Linked DNA regions of Rhinolophus ferrumequinum. The protein of the gene in region 2 binds, or shares a complex with, the protein of the main gene of each other region. Links are inferred from orthologs where the notes say so. Each region holds a gene or a part of one and is shown on either strand. Other genes may lie near its edges.

Region 1 (7,502 bases), on a different chromosome or scaffold from region 2:
TCTCCAGATGTGCAGGCAGGGTTGACCCACTTGGCAGTAGCCCCTAGATGCGTGATTCTGTTTCCAAAGCTGTTGCACATTTAACTCCGTGTGTCTGGCTGGGAAGGGCTTTGGGTTTAGACACTTTCCCACCTATTAGGGTTTGGAAAGAGCGACTGGCATCTTGCCTTCCATGGTTCCTACTCACAGCTCTACTTCTGCTGGCAGCTCTGTCCTGGGCTCCACTCTCCCCCAGCACATGCTGCAACTGTTGCAACCTGGCCCAAAGCTGAACCCTGAGGTCGCTGTCGAGTTTGCCTGGTGCCTTCACTATATCATCTGCAGGTAACGCAGAGGCCAGTTGGGAAAGTGCCACAGACCTCCCCCAGGGCTCCTTTCATGACACTCGGGTTTTTGAACTTGGGTTTCTGGAATTGTGTTTTCTTCCTTCCATGGTCTTCTCTTCTTGGAACCCAGGAAACCCACACACCTAGGCTGTTTGCCAACTTAAAGGTGGGATTGGCTGAGTAGTGACTACTTGCTTCCTATTGCCCAGCCAGGTGAACAATGCCCTGCTCATCACCCATGGGGCTCTGTCCACTCTGGGGCTGCTGCTCTTGGACTTGGCGGGGGCTGTCCAGAGATCCGAGAATGCAGGACTGGAGCTGGTAGGTGAAGAGGACAGGTCCAAATCTCTGCTACCTTTCTTCCTACTCTGCTCCTCCTCCAGGGTGCAGGTAACCCCTTCTAACTTAAACCTGATCCCCAACTTGTTGTTACAGCTGGTGTGTCCTGTGCTCCGGTGTCTAAGCAACTTGCTAACAGAGGCTGTAGTGGAGGCTGTGGGAGGGCAAGTGCAGCTCAGAGATGAGCGTGTTGTGGCTGCCTTATTTATCCTTCTGCAGTTCTTTCTCCAGAAACAGCCCAGCCTGCTTCCTGAGGGCCTCTGGCTCCTTAACAACCTCACCGGTATGCACCGTAAAGTCTGCTAGGCCTAGATCTTGAGATCCTGGGAAGACTTCCTTGTGGCTTGGGCTGAGGTGGGTGGAATTAGGAAGGGGTGGTTTCAGGCCTCAATTAGACTTCACCCTGACATTTTCCCTTCCAGCAAACAGCCCTAGCTTCTGTACCTCCTTGCTTTCCCTGGATCTGATTGAGCCCCTCTTGCAGTTGTTGCCAGTATCTAATGTGGTGAGCGTATTGGTAGGTATTGGAGCCATCCGAGTCTAAGGTCTAGTGGCCCAAGTATAAAGAGTGGGAGTTCAGAAGTGCCCTTAGCTGAGAGCTGGCAGCTGGTACGTTGTGGATGGCTTCAGAGTCTGACCATTCTGGGCGTGAGTCCCTAAACTGTGGTTTACAAGTTACTAACCTCGGGCAAATCAGTTAACCACCTTATCTTTAGTTTCCTCATTTATAATTGGGAATAGTAATCCTACCTGAGGGTAGCTGTGTAGATTACAGAACATGCATATGCATATAAAATTACTTAGCACAGTGCCTGGGGCATGTGGTCAGCACTCCATATATTTTTTGCTGTACTTGGCTTTCATCCTCTGTGGGGACATACTGTCTGCAGGTGCTCACAGTTCTGTGCAACGTTGCAGAGAAGGGTCCTGCTTATTGCCAGCATCTGTGGCCAGGACCCTTGCTCCCCTCCTTGCTGGAAACGCTGGCCTTCTCTGACACTGAAGTAGTAGGCCAGAGTTTGGAGCTGCTACAACTGCTATTCCTCTATCGACCAGAGGTGCGTTTCTGGCCCTGGGCGCTAACCCCCATTCTGAAGCCTCTGGTCTCACCATCTCATCAGTCCTAACTATAGTCACTTTTCTGGGTCTGGCTAGCCTATGTGGGCTCCGGGTCTGAACCTCCACCTTCTTGTTGGGAATGCACCTCTCCCTAGATAAGCCATTAGGGTAACCCATTAGGCTGTGGGAATTGAGTGTTAGGGCATAGGGACCCAGGTGTTGAATCCTTTTCTTCCCTATCCTCAGGCTGCCCAGGACTTCCTGCAGCAATCAGGGCTGCATGCTCTGGAAAGGCATGAGGAGGAGGCCCAGCTCCAGGATCGAGTGCATGCTCTCCGGCAGACAGCTCTTCATGGGTGACGTGGCTCCTCCATGTCACTTACTCCACTCCTTCCTGTCCACCCCCCACCAGCTTCCTTGCCTAGGGAGCCCCTTTTGGGGGTTAGGACCATAATGAGGCATCATGTTCTCTGCTCCCACACCTAAACCTAAGCCAAGGCCTTTGGACCCCAGCTCCTCTTCACCTGGCACTGTCTAGGCAGAAGGACCAGAAGGAAATCAGTATGGCCCACTTATTCTGGGGCCCTGGAATCTCTTTCTCCGTTTTGGTTTGCTCCAGCAGCTGGCGGCTTTTGATGGGACAGAATAAAGTTTTATTTTTATAATAAACTGCTTTGCCTCAGTGGTTGTATGATAAAGGGTAGAGAGTGGAATGAGGAAAAGCACATCCTGAGAGCATCTTACAGCACAAGCTTTATAGAGAACAGAAGAATACATTTTTCCATTGTAGTCAGTGCAGCAGAGCCCACCCAGGCTGTGGGGTTGCTGCTCAGTCCTCAGTGGAAGCTTCAGGCTTTGCCACTTAGCACATTCTCCAGGGCTCTGGTTACCTGATCAGCACTGAAGTTATTCAGAGAGACATTCTTTTCTTGGCCAAATGCTGGGGAGAGAGGGAGGTCACTAAGTATCCACTCTGCACGTGGGGCTACCAAAGTATAACAAGTCTTTGTCATCAACTTATAGATTGGAAAGGTAGTAAAGGTATGCCTAGAATTTATCCAGTGGGTCTCAAACACATCTAGGAAGGCCAGGTCCAACTAGAACTTTGGCTGATTGTGGGTGGCCACATGGTAAGGAAGGTGTTTCAGGGAAGTTTCTAGGGGCTCGGTAGGCATTTATTATTAACCATTGATTGGAGCAGTGCATGGAAGCCTTGGCTGGTGCTCATTCTGTGGCTCCCATAGTCCATCTAGGACAATACATTAGTTATTTGAGTCCATCTCCTCTAGTCTACTGGCTTTTGTTAAGAGAACCTTTTTCCTCCTCCTGTTTTTAGTGCCTGGTATTTCTATAGACCTCCACTGTTAGAACCAATCTGCCTTAGGTGTGACTCCCCTCTTCCTCCAGACATTCTTTGGGCAAGATGTAGTTAAAAGTGGTGAAAATACCACTAATACGATAAACATTTTTTGCCTGCCTACTATGTGTCAGGCAACAAGATAATTTTCAGATTGCGGTAAAATGAAAGGTAATATGATAAAAAAGGGTCTGGGGGTGATGTTACATAACTGGTCAGGGAATACCTTTCTGAGGAGATGATATATAAGCTCAGAGCTGAATAATAAAAAGTCAGCCATGGATATCTGGCAGAAGTGCATTGTAGAAAGGGGGAACAAAAATAAAGGCTCAAACCTGTTCTATCCAATTACATAACCTTAGGTATGTTCTGTAAAATTTTTGATTCAGGTTTCTAATTTCTACAATAACACCCCCTCATATAGTGAATGAAGATTAAATGAGATTTAGGCAGCAAAGCACCACAGTCTAGCAGTAAGTGCTCAACACAATCATTATTTTAGGTTTTCCTTATTGAGATTGTAACACTACCTGGATCAGCACTGCCCAGGTAGTGCCGGTCCTTCCAGACGTGGAAGGACTTACATTGAAGAGAATTGACCAGCATCTCTTCTCCCATATCGGAAACCTGTTCTGAATTACAAAGTGACAGCTCCTGTCCCTACGCAGGACCGGGCCCGCCTCCCCACACTGTTAACCCAGGACACAAAGCATTCTATAGCTCTAAGAATGTAAATTTCCTTATTGTCAGCAAGGTCAAAAGCAAGGCCGAAGTCTGAGTTCCAGTCTCCACACGTTTATGCTTGACCTTGCGCGGCCCTTTTTCTTCTCAAGTCCTTGTTTCCCCACGGGGGTCCCGTATCCCCCGAGTCCGGCACTCACCGTAGCGGGCCCAGAGCTTCGGCTGTACATCGGAGCACTCGCGGATTAGGATGGGTAGGTCGGGGTTCGCCTTCTTCAGCTCCACATAGCGTTTCTCGATGAAGTCCCTGCGGGGCCGGAGAAAGCGCCCCGCGCGTGCTGTGTGGGCGCGGGCCTCCCCAAATATCTGGGAGGTCGAGGTCGTGACCCCGGCGCCCCGAAGCCCGCCCGCCTCACCACGCGCTGCTCCTCACCTGACGCCCTGGCTGCCCGGCGAGCGCTGGCACAAGTGGATGCGAATCTCTCGTAGGGCCAGCTTGGCACTCACCCCTCGACTCGCCGCAGCGACCGCCATCTCTGCTGCTATCTAATCCCCTGGTCAGGTCTTCCAGCCAAATTCTCCAGAAGGACCAATCGCGGATCCTCCAGGCCCCGCGATAGGTTGGTTGAGGTAGGGGGCGGGTCAAGTTTAGCCAATGCCATAAAAGCATTGTAAGGCACCAGTCGCGTTTCCTCCAATTTCGCGTCGGATGGGCGGGTTCCGAAAGGCTGCGGAACGCAAGGCACTGTGGGTCGCTTTCGGAGGTGCATTGTGGGGAAAAGGCTGTCGCTACCGTGTTGTTGTTGGAGTCTCCGTCCTAGCTGGCGTTGAAACACCGCGGACGAAATGCCGGAACGAGATAGTAAGTCTCAGGTTATCTGCCCTTTCTACCCTGCGGGACTCGGGACACTTGGCGGGTTATTTTGGCCTCAGAACTTAGGCCAGGGTGGAGAAGGGCCCGGAGTGACGCTTGGAGCCTGGAGAAGCCTTTGGGCCCCGAGGCAGGGCGGGCAGCTCCAGACTCTGTCCCTAATCCTCGTCTTTTCCCCGAGTGACGACAGGTGGGGTTTATCTGTGAACTTGACCCCTCATCCCCCTGCCCCATATCACTTAGTCTTGGGTTGCGTCAATTTATCTTTCACGTAGTATCTTAGATGTCATCTTCAGGAAGTCTTTGCTGACCCTCCAGCGCTGGTTTAGGGGCCCCCTCCTGTGGACTCCCTACTATTCACTGCTATATCCCCAACTTTTGCATGGGACCTCACACAAAAGAGATTGATTAATGTCAATTCATTTTCTTAGGCGAGCCGTTCTCCAACCCTTTGGCCCCAGATGGCCACGATGTGGACGATCCTCACTCCTTCCACCAGTGAGTGTTTTGATCTAGAACCATGGCAATGAGTTGGGCAATGAGTAGAGTGGTGGAGGTGATGGTAAAAGAATTCTGAATGTCTCCTCAGCAAGGATGATCAAAAAAACTTTGTACTACTTCCCCCTTTAACTGGATCAAGTCAATTGCATAACAGTATTAGAGGGGAAATTCTGGCATGGAGAGTGCTAGTATTTAAAGTTGATGTTTAATTACACATTACATAGGAATTAATTCTTGTAGAAAATGAAAACATCAGAAATAAGGGTAAAATTCGCTTTGATCAACATCCCCAATTCCGGTCCTGTTCTTAGAGGTAACCATTGTAACCTTTTTCATGTGTAACTTTTCTCTCCCTATTTTTTTAATGCATTTATATACATACATGTATATCTGAGGAAAATATCTCATTGCTTCGTGAGTTAAAATAATTAAATTAAATTAAATGGTGTTATATTGTACGTATGTTATTTGGCTGCTTGCTTTTTTCTTTTGCTAAGACCAGGCTCAGCAGGCCAATGAAGAGGCCCAGTTGGAAGGGGGCTAAACGGAATCTGACTAAAGTTTGGTCAAGGAGTGAGTCCTTGTCACTCTTGTACTAATTAAAATTATCTCTTGTACTATCAATGCTATCTGCCCCACATTTAGAAAACACTGTCACAGATTATTTAGTCTCCAGTTAATGGACATTTAGGTTGTTAGCAAGTTTTGTTTTCAAAGCTATAATTGAACCTCCTTTTTATACACATGCCAGTAATTGGTAATGTGTAGATGAATGGAGTTGCTGGGTTATAGGAAATGCACACTGAAATTTTAATAGATATTGCTAACTTGCCCTCCAGTAGGCTATGCTGACTTACATTCCCATCAGCGGTATAAAACCTTCCCAAATTCTTATGCATACTTAATTTATCAAACTTTTTAATAACACTGATGCATTAAAAGTGGCATGTCTTTGTTTTAATTTGTAGTTCCCTGATTTCCAGTACAGTTAACCATGTTTTTTACATATTCCTTTTCTAGTTCTTACTGGGTACTAATTTTTAAAATCTTTGTGCCTTCTAGATCAAAACTCACCAATGAAGACTTCAGGAAACTTCTCATGACCCCAAGGGCTGCACCTACCTCTGCACCGCCCTCTAAATCACGTCATCATGAGTAAGCTTTGGGGTGATTCAAGCTGTCTCCCATCTCATTACAGAAAATCTACTAATCTAGATGTCTTAGGAACTGGAAGGCTAGTTCTTTTTTGAAGTCTGTGGTTCTGATTCTCTTCCTCTGGAGATTGAAGCTCCAGTGGAGACTGGCATGTTCTAGGGTCTCACTTTTTCTCAGAGTATGTTCCGTGGACCACTTGTACTAGAATTGCTACTGGTACTTAAGTGGGCAGATTTCAGGGCCCATTCCAGTCCCCACAGACTCAGATTCTGGGACAGATATTTGGGAATACATAATATTAACAGTCTTTCAGGTAGTTGTGATGCTTTCTCTCTAAAGTTTGAGAACCACTCAATACAAATATTGACATGGATCTCTGACCTATTGAAACTGTTGCTTTGGTCAGTGTTCTAGACCTTTCTTCAGTTCTTAAGGCCACTTCTTGGGATTTCTGGGGCTGTGGCAATATTTTACTAATATTTGCTAATATTTCTCTTCTAGGATGCCAAGGGAGTACAATGAGGATGAAGACCCAGCTGCACGAAGGAGGAAAAAGAAAAGGTGAAGGAAGGATGGAGGACTGTTGGGTTTTAATGTGGATAGTGTTTGTGGGAAAGGAATAGGGGCTAGTTATGAGGCTAGAGACTGAGGTTTTCCTTTATTCTCTAAAGGTTTTCCGCTTTCATAGTGGACAGGAGTGATATATGGAGTGGCCGTTTAAGGGTTTGAAGTCAGTCTGTGGTGTTTTAATCTCATCTTGACCAGTTTCTAGCTGGATAACTTTGGGCATTTTGCTTAACCTCTCTAATCCTCAGTATTCTCCCTGGTAAAAAGGAGATAGTGATGATAATTCTTAGCAGATTGTCATGAGGGTCAACTGTGATAATGCATGTAATGTGATAGTGCCTGGCAGATAGTAACCACCGAATAAGTCTTGGCTGCCATCATCATCATTTACATGATACCAAACTTTCTGGACCTTTACTTTGCTTTTTCCTCTCTTCTTGGGGAGGACCGGCAAGGAACAATTTATTTTTTGTTGAAACTTGGAAGGTGATAAAAAAATCAGATGGCTTCATGGTTGCTGTAGGGAAAAGTCTCATACCTGTAAACACTCAATGATATAGAGTTGGGTGGCATTAACGAATTCTAAAGTGACAGATGGAGTGCCCTGAGGTAGCATTGGAACAATGTATCTGTGAGCCGGAAGATG
Region 2 (7,742 bases):
CTGAGAAAGTAAAGATGATCAATACAATCAAAATAGACAAAATACAAATTCAAGAGTTCAACAGCAAAATCCTAGAGTGGAACTCTCTATGCAAATGAGATTCAATGTTATCACTCCTCTTAACCAAAGCCAAATTCAGGACTAGTGAAATTGAAGCTTTTGTATTAGCCAGTCAACATTTCACTCACTTGAAGTCTTCATTTTTTATAAACTCAACAATAATATCCTTCTCCGGTTGAATCTGAAGCATCTTCAAGGTCAAACACAGAAAGGGAGTTGGTTTTATGTTGCCACCATAGACGCCTCCCACAAACCTTAACTCCATGGCTTTATCGACTACAAGTTCAGCTAAAAAAGACAAACAAACAAAAAAAACAAATAGAGTGGCATCTCAGATATACTAGGGCTAAGATTTCCCCAGTTTGAAGTGGAGAGAAGTTAGTTCAAGGTTTGGTGCTGTGAATACTCATCAACAGTTTACTATTAGGAGAACAAGTGTGTATTAATAGTAATAATAATAAATGCAGATGATCATGCATTGTGGAGTACTCTGAGTACCTGCCATGTACTCTGCTAAACATTTCATGTTATCTCATTTAATCTTCACAATAAGCCATGAAGTAAATTACAGCACTGTCCCTGTTTTCAGCTAAGGATAATGAGGGCTAAGAAAGGTTAAGTGACTTGCTCAAGGTCCACAGCCAAAAAGCAGCAAGTCCTGGATTTAAATCTAAGCAGTCTAACTTCAGAGTCCACACTTGTCACCATCATGTAGGGGAAAAACTGCCAAATTAGGAATTAGAAGTGTCAACATAAGAACGTCCAAAGCTGCAGAGAATTTTTGTTTAAGAGTTTATTTGAGCCAAACTGATATGCTGGGAAGCAAAAAAAATCTCAACTGCTCTGGAGAATGAGTTTCACATTTCTTTTTATACATTTAGAACTAAGGAAGTGTGGGAGAAAGCAAGGTGGGGGAATCTCTATGATTGGATTACAGAATAGTTAACAAGATTATGTGCTCCCAAAAAGAGGATTACTCTGACATTTCAAAGCTGTGTTAACCTAGATGCCAACCATAGACAGGGCTTGCTTCAGGCAAAGATAAACCTTTTACTAAAGAAGTTACAATCCTGGGGCATGACTACACACAATGAACTGCCCAGTTAAGAATTTATGATCAGAGCATCCTGTGGAGTTACTAACATGTCAAATCGACTGCAAAGCTACTTTTTCAGTTCAAAAAAAGAAACAATAACAACTCAATAGCTACATAACCTTAAGCAAACCTCATCTACAGAATGGGAATAATAACCTTTCAATGTTGTTGTCAAAATCAACACTAGCTATGTGAAATGAACTAGGGCAAGTCATTTCACCTCTCTTTGGGCCTGTCAGTTCAAATTTAAATAATAAAGGTACAAAGTTTAAGAGCTATAGTGAGAATCAAAGAAGACAATTCAAATAAATGCTAATGCTTACATGACAAACAGCAAATAATAAATGTTAGCTACCATTAATGGGAAATCTTTTTATATACTAGACGTCAAATTAGGATAAATTCTGTATTAATTCATTCAACATTACAGTTGACAGCTTATAGCTGGGTGTTAAGTACTAGAGATACAGATAGAGGGATAAAAAAGAGGGACACAATTATTACTCTTAAAGAGTTTACAGTCTGGCAAGGCAGAAAGCATCGAAAAAGTAACTGAAAGTGTGATGAGTTGAAAGAAGACACAGAATGCAATGAAAATATACCACAAGAGAATACAATCTAGTGTTGGAGGCAAAAGTCCTGAGTTCAGTTTTGGACATATTGAGTTGGCACGTCTTGGAATTAGATTTAGATCTCAGGGAAAGATCTGTGTTGGAGAGATGAATTTGAAGGCATCTACATGTACAGGATGTAACTATGTTATGGAGATCATCCAAGGAAAGAACTATGGAACGAGAAACTGTGCTTCATCCATGGAATCCTAGCTCGTGGTGGTGGCAGCAACAGTAACAGTACATACCGTATTTAACACTGGTAAAAAAAAAAAACTAGCACCACCATTACCATTGATCACTGACTACTTTTTATCAATATATACCTGTAATCATACCAAACACTTTTTATACATTATTGCATTTAATTATTAGAACCACCATTTAATTATTGAGGGAGCGGGAGGCGGGGGTAGGTATTATTATACTCGTTTCACAGTCAAGGAAGCCACGGCTCACTGGAGTAACAGAGCTACTAAAAAGAGGAGCCAGAATTCCAACAAAGATGAAAAGACTACCTGGCAGGCTTCTCTGAAGAACTGGTATTATATTAGGACCCGAACATGGAAATACTGCAGATGGTCCAAGTTTAGGGATAGTAAGATCATGGATTTGGTTCTGGTCACGTTGACTTTCGTTTAATGCCTTCCCGGGTTTCCGAACTTAACACTGGAACCCACCAAGTTATCATTAAACATGAAATGATTCAAAGAACACAACCGAGACACCTTTCGGAATAAGGCCCTATTATCTGTGTACCCAAAGCCCAACACAAGTCTAGGCACATAGTAGGCGCTCAGGAATCTGAATGACAAATTCCCCCCCAGTCTCACCCTCAGGGGGTCAGTCCCGTCGGCGCCCAAACAGGAGAACTGTGCCACAAAGCGGCCGATGGGGAGTCAGTGCGCTTCCACTCACCGGTAAGCCCAAAGCACTCCTCTTTCCAGTACTTGGACTCATAGATTCGCGTCCGAATGATCTTCTCCACCAGATATTGAGGGTTGGTGCCGTGGATGCTGTGCGCATCCTTTACTGTGCGGTTCGCCATTTTAGAACGCCTCCAGTTCTATTTCCGTCGGGTCCTTTAGTACGTCACATCTACGTTAAAAAAAAATCAGAACTGGAGAAAGGCGGAAGAACTCTCATTTTAAAAGCTTAGGCGACCATCTTGAGACCGGAAATGCTGCAGCGTAAGGAACTTTCTTCCGCAAACGGCGTCGCTGATGGTATCAATGATGGACGCTGCACGTTGACGTACGTACGTCATGCATACTCTATTAGGTGGGCGGGACGGGAGGGCTGGCTGGTGACGGAACGTGGAGACAGCCTGAGGGCGGGGCCACGACGTTTGGCGCGAAATTTTATTCTCTCCACCTTCTTTCCATTCCTAGCAAGGAGCCGGCTTCTGCTCCGGCGTGCGGCTCGGTGGCTGCAAGAGGAGTCCATCTGGAGCAGGTGAGAATTGCTGCAGCTCCACGAGCTCCTGAAGCGGAGACTGTGGGAAGTGGAGGGCTTGCGCCTAGCTTCAGGAAGTTTCGGCGCCCGGTGAGTGTGGCGTCCGGCCGGCTGGAGGGGAACCTGAGCCGCGGGAACTGAGGAAGTTGTCCTTTGTAGACTCAGTCATTGATTCATCCAGCAGATATTTACTAAGCCACCGTTAAGTGCCAGGCACTGTTCTAAGCCCATTAGGAGCGTTCCTTTCCCACATCCCGAATGTTGAAAGTCTTCTCGCTACACCAGGGACTGCAAGTTTTTCAGTGGGGTAGCCGGAAGCCAACAGCATGGAAGCATGAGCATTGCCACCTTCAGCGTCCTGAGACTCTCAGTAATGATCTTAATCATCCCTTCTATCTGCATTGCCCTTGTGAAGCATCGCATCTGTTCCTCCTTTGAGTCGTAGTGTAGCAAGCACCACCGAGAAGTCGGAGCTGTAGAAGTTATTACCCCATTTTACGGATGTAGCAATTGCTCCTGGAGACAGATCAGGTCTAGGTCGCTTTTTGTGGCTGAGCGGTTTGGGCTCCTACCCAGGTCTTTTTCCAGTTGAGCTGCTCTTAACTGCTGGTCACTCATCCACTCCACCTTTCCAGGAGAGAACTCTAATGACGCCTTTTCTACTTTCTAACCCTAGAATGCCAAGGCTTTCTGTTTTGACAGTTGGAAAAAGCACTGGGTTTAGGCATAAGATGCAAGATTCTTATCCTGGTGCGCCATCTGTAAACCTGCAATAATTAAATATGTTAGTTTTTTATTTTAATAGTCTGTAAAAATGGGTACTGGGTGCTTGTGGACTTTAGAAGGTTTATGAATCCCCTGAAATGAATGCAAAATTTTTGTGTGAATTATATGTGAGTTTAATAACATTCATCAAATTAGTAAAATAAAAAGAACCTACTGCCTCTTCCAAATAGAGCAAGGGATTAAGGAAGTGGGAGTGAATTTACCATTTTGCATTTTTTTACTTAATCCCCAGTAATCCTAGAGCAGAGTTTGGCACACAGCGGGAGGTTAATAAATATTGGTTGAATAAAAGGAAGTTTCTGTTATTATCTCACTTTATGGGTAAGGAAATGGAGACCCATTTGTTCCCTCAGTCAGTGTCTGGAAAGCCTGAATTATTATAATAAGCACACCAGAAGCAAGTTCTCTCAGGCATATATTTAACATTATATACTGTAACATAAGATGAAGTGGTTAAGAGCAGTCATTGGAATCTGGTTGCTCAGGGGTTGAATTAAGACTGTGCCATCCTGTATAACATTGGGACAAGTTATCATCTTGAAGTTGATAATGGCATCTACCTTTCATTCAGCAAATATTTATTATTGAGTGCCAATGTGCACTTAGTACTAAGTACTAGCATTGTTCTAGGATTATTGTGAGGATTAAATGAGATAAATTTAGCAAGAGTTTTGGCTCAATAAACATCTGCTATCATTATTTTTACTGCAACTCCCTTACCTGTTTTTCTTGGGTGTGACCCCTGGGCTGGGTAGTATGTGTGTTCCAGATATCTGGTATCTGCAATCCTGAGAGCCTGTAGTGGGTATCTCCTGGAAGCCAAAGCCTTTGCTAGGCCAAATCAGGTCTGTCTTCCCACCCCACTCATCACGCCTCTTGGGGACTATTTCTGCTGATGGTGGATGGGATGAAATGCTGGGTGGAGGGTAAGAAAGTGAAAAACAATACAAAGAGGCCTGACATCTACTATGATTTCCATATGCTGCCGCTTCAGAAGGACTCCTGATTAATTTTTTGAACTTTAACATACATACAGAAAAGTACACAAATCAGAAATGTGTAGCTCAATGCATTTTTTAATTGTTTAAATTTTTTACTTTATAATCTCTGAGCTAATCTGCCAGTTTTAGAAATAGCATGTCAGTGAGTTTTCTTAAAAAGAACATACCTATGTAACTACCATCTAGTTCAAGAAATAACATGACCAGCATCTCAAATGCACCCCGCGTCCCCAACTGTGCACCTTTTCAGTTACCTTGGTTACCTTCTATTCTCACTGCTAACACCAGAGTTTACTTCTACCTCTTTTTGAACTTTATATAAATGGAGTCAATATAGTGTGTATTCTTTTGCTGATTTTTTAGCTCATTGTTATTTTGTGAGATTTTCCCCATTTTGTGTGCAGTTGTAGCTGGTTTAATTTCATTGCTTTATAATGCTGCTATGACCATTCTGGCTCATGTTTTTTGATGATGTGTTTTTTTGTGGGTGTATTCTGTTGGAATTGCTGGATCATAGGGTATGCTTGAATAGATACCTCCAATTTTCCAGAGTAGTGTTACCAATTGACACGCCCGCCAGCAGCAGTGTATGACACTTCTGGCTGCTCTACATCCTTACCACATTTGGTATTGTCCTAATTATTTACATTCATTTCATTCACTTTTTCATTCACCTATTACGAGCCAAGTCCTAACCTAGGCCCTAGGGACACAGTTATGAACAAGACAGACAAGGTTCCAAGATCCCTGCTCTTTTGGAGGTTAACATTCTCATGTGGGAAATACAATAAATAAAGTAACATAGTGGTTATTGCTTTGATAATAACGTGGTATAATGGAACACGATCCCGAGGGGCAGTATAAAGTGTGGGGGGGTAACTTTCCATTGGGTATCAGTGAAGGCCTCTCTGAGGATTTTCCTCGCAGTTGAGCCCTGAGCCATCCCTGCAAATCTTTGCAGGAAGAGGAGAGGACGGCAATTGCCTAAGTCTGAGGGCACTAACAGCCTTGGTCTGTTTGAGATTTGGAAAAGCAGGCCTGAAGCAGGTTGTGCAGTCCAGACCCAGATAGTCTTCTTTCTATACCCCCTGCCTGCTCAGCCTAGGGTGAATCACCCACCTTTGCATATATGCATACACAGTAGTCCCCCCATATCCACAGTTTCGCTTTTCGAGGTTTGTTAACCTGCATCAGCTGCAGTCTGAAAATATTAAATGGGAAATTCCAGAAATAAAAATTCATAAGTTTTACATTGCACATGATACTGAGTAATGTGATGAAATCTTGAGCCGTCCTCCTGTTCTATCCCGCTCAGGACTTGAATCGTTCCTGTGTCCAATGTTGTCTATGCTATATGTGCTAACTGGTTAGCCAGATCCGTTTATCAGATTGGTCACCAGCTATTTTGAAAGAAAGACCACAGTCACATACCTTTTATTACAATATATTGTTATAATTGTTCCGTTTGATGATTAGTTGTTAATCTCTTACTGTGCCTAAGTTATAAATTAAACTTTATCGTAGGTATGTATGTATAGGAGAAAACAGTATACATAGGGTTCAGTATCCACGATTTCAGGCATCTACTGGGGTATTTAAATGTATCCCCTGAGGATGAGTGGGAACTGTACTGGTTTCATTGAACACAGCTCATGATCTAGAAAAGGAATGTTAAATTTTATCTTGACTTGGTTTTGAAGGAGGATGCCTGCTTTGTTAAGCTAAAATATGATCTGGATTTAGAAGAATTGAGAGTATGTATTTGATGTATTTGATGCGTGAGTACCTTATTGATATGGAGGTAGTCCTTCTGTATGCCAATTTTTGGTTTGAAAAAATGAGATCATTGTGCCAGTGTAACAAAATGTCATAGTCAAAGTGACAAATCAGGCCATTTATCTTACAGTTAGATTATTTAAAAGTTGTAGAAAGTTTGCTGAGAGATACCAACTTGCCATAAAACACTCTCCCTGATATTTCGATTTTTTTTTTTAAATGACAGAGCTTAGTGAGTACTTTGAATTACTTGCATCTTTTATCTGTATCCATCTATTTTGCCTGATTCATCGAGGAAAGGTGAAAAGTTTTAAGTTTACTTCTGAACAGTTCTGTGTTACATGAACCATTAAAAGGAACATATATTGAAGGTAAGTTAGTGTTATATATTTCCTTGAACATTTATTGAATCTAACACTTTTACTAACTTTTACCAAAAGATTATATGAATCCAAATTCATTTTTTACGTAAGCACAAGTCTTCTACTTGTTTTTACTCATCAATCTTCTTTGCTGTTTGTTCATTTCTACAATGTACTTAATTGAAAATAGATTGATTTTAAAAGTACTCTATTTTGAATTATACTCTTGATGTTCTTAATAGCAATCATTCAGACATCATTTGTAATCTGTGTATTTACTCGTGACTCAGTATCTTCCCTTCTTTTTGCTAACTAGTTTCCACAAAGTAAACTAAAAATTACCTTTTTTAAAGGCAGAAAATCTTATGGGTTATAATGTTACCAAGTAGAATGTAGGACATAATGCTACTGAACTTTAGGAAACCAGCTTGTTTAATCAGGATGTTAACATGCTATTCTAATTCTGTTGTTTTCAACATAGACGGAAATTATTGGTCCCCTTATCAGTAATTCAGAGTAATTGAGTCAGACTGTATTTAAAAAAAATTTTTTCACCCCAGTTTTGTCCAATTTTAGTTCCACAAGAAAATAATTG

What was found.
Region 1: PRPF38A (region 2) and IK share a complex: the UniProt entries of both Homo sapiens proteins name them as parts of the spliceosome B complex. The link is inferred for Rhinolophus ferrumequinum from reciprocal best matches to the Homo sapiens genes PRPF38A and IK.

What each region holds. Positions count from the first base shown.
Region 1 is NC_046307.1:15,183,130-15,190,631, forward strand, and holds the start of IK (protein Red), read left to right. Parts: upstream 1-4,486; 5' UTR 4,487-4,608; coding exon 4,609-4,624; intron 4,625-5,064; coding exon 5,065-5,131; intron 5,132-6,196; coding exon 6,197-6,289; intron 6,290-6,790; coding exon 6,791-6,850; intron 6,851-7,502. Other genes in the region: TMCO6 (transmembrane and coiled-coil domain-containing protein 6), read left to right, coding at 190-324, 536-647, 762-948, 1,088-1,182, 1,556-1,723, 1,971-2,084; NDUFA2 (NADH dehydrogenase [ubiquinone] 1 alpha subcomplex subunit 2), read right to left, coding at 2,573-2,664, 3,963-4,069, 4,196-4,296. UniProt on the Homo sapiens protein: Involved in pre-mRNA splicing as a component of the spliceosome. Auxiliary spliceosomal protein that regulates selection of alternative splice sites in a small set of target pre-mRNA species. Required for normal mitotic cell cycle progression.
Region 2 is NC_046292.1:37,401,363-37,409,104, reverse strand, and holds the start of PRPF38A (pre-mRNA-splicing factor 38A), read right to left. Parts: upstream 3,002-7,742; 5' UTR 2,816-3,001; coding exon 2,686-2,815; exon of another isoform or gene 2,601-2,685; intron 349-2,600; coding exon 189-348; intron 1-188. UniProt on the Homo sapiens protein: Involved in pre-mRNA splicing as a component of the spliceosome.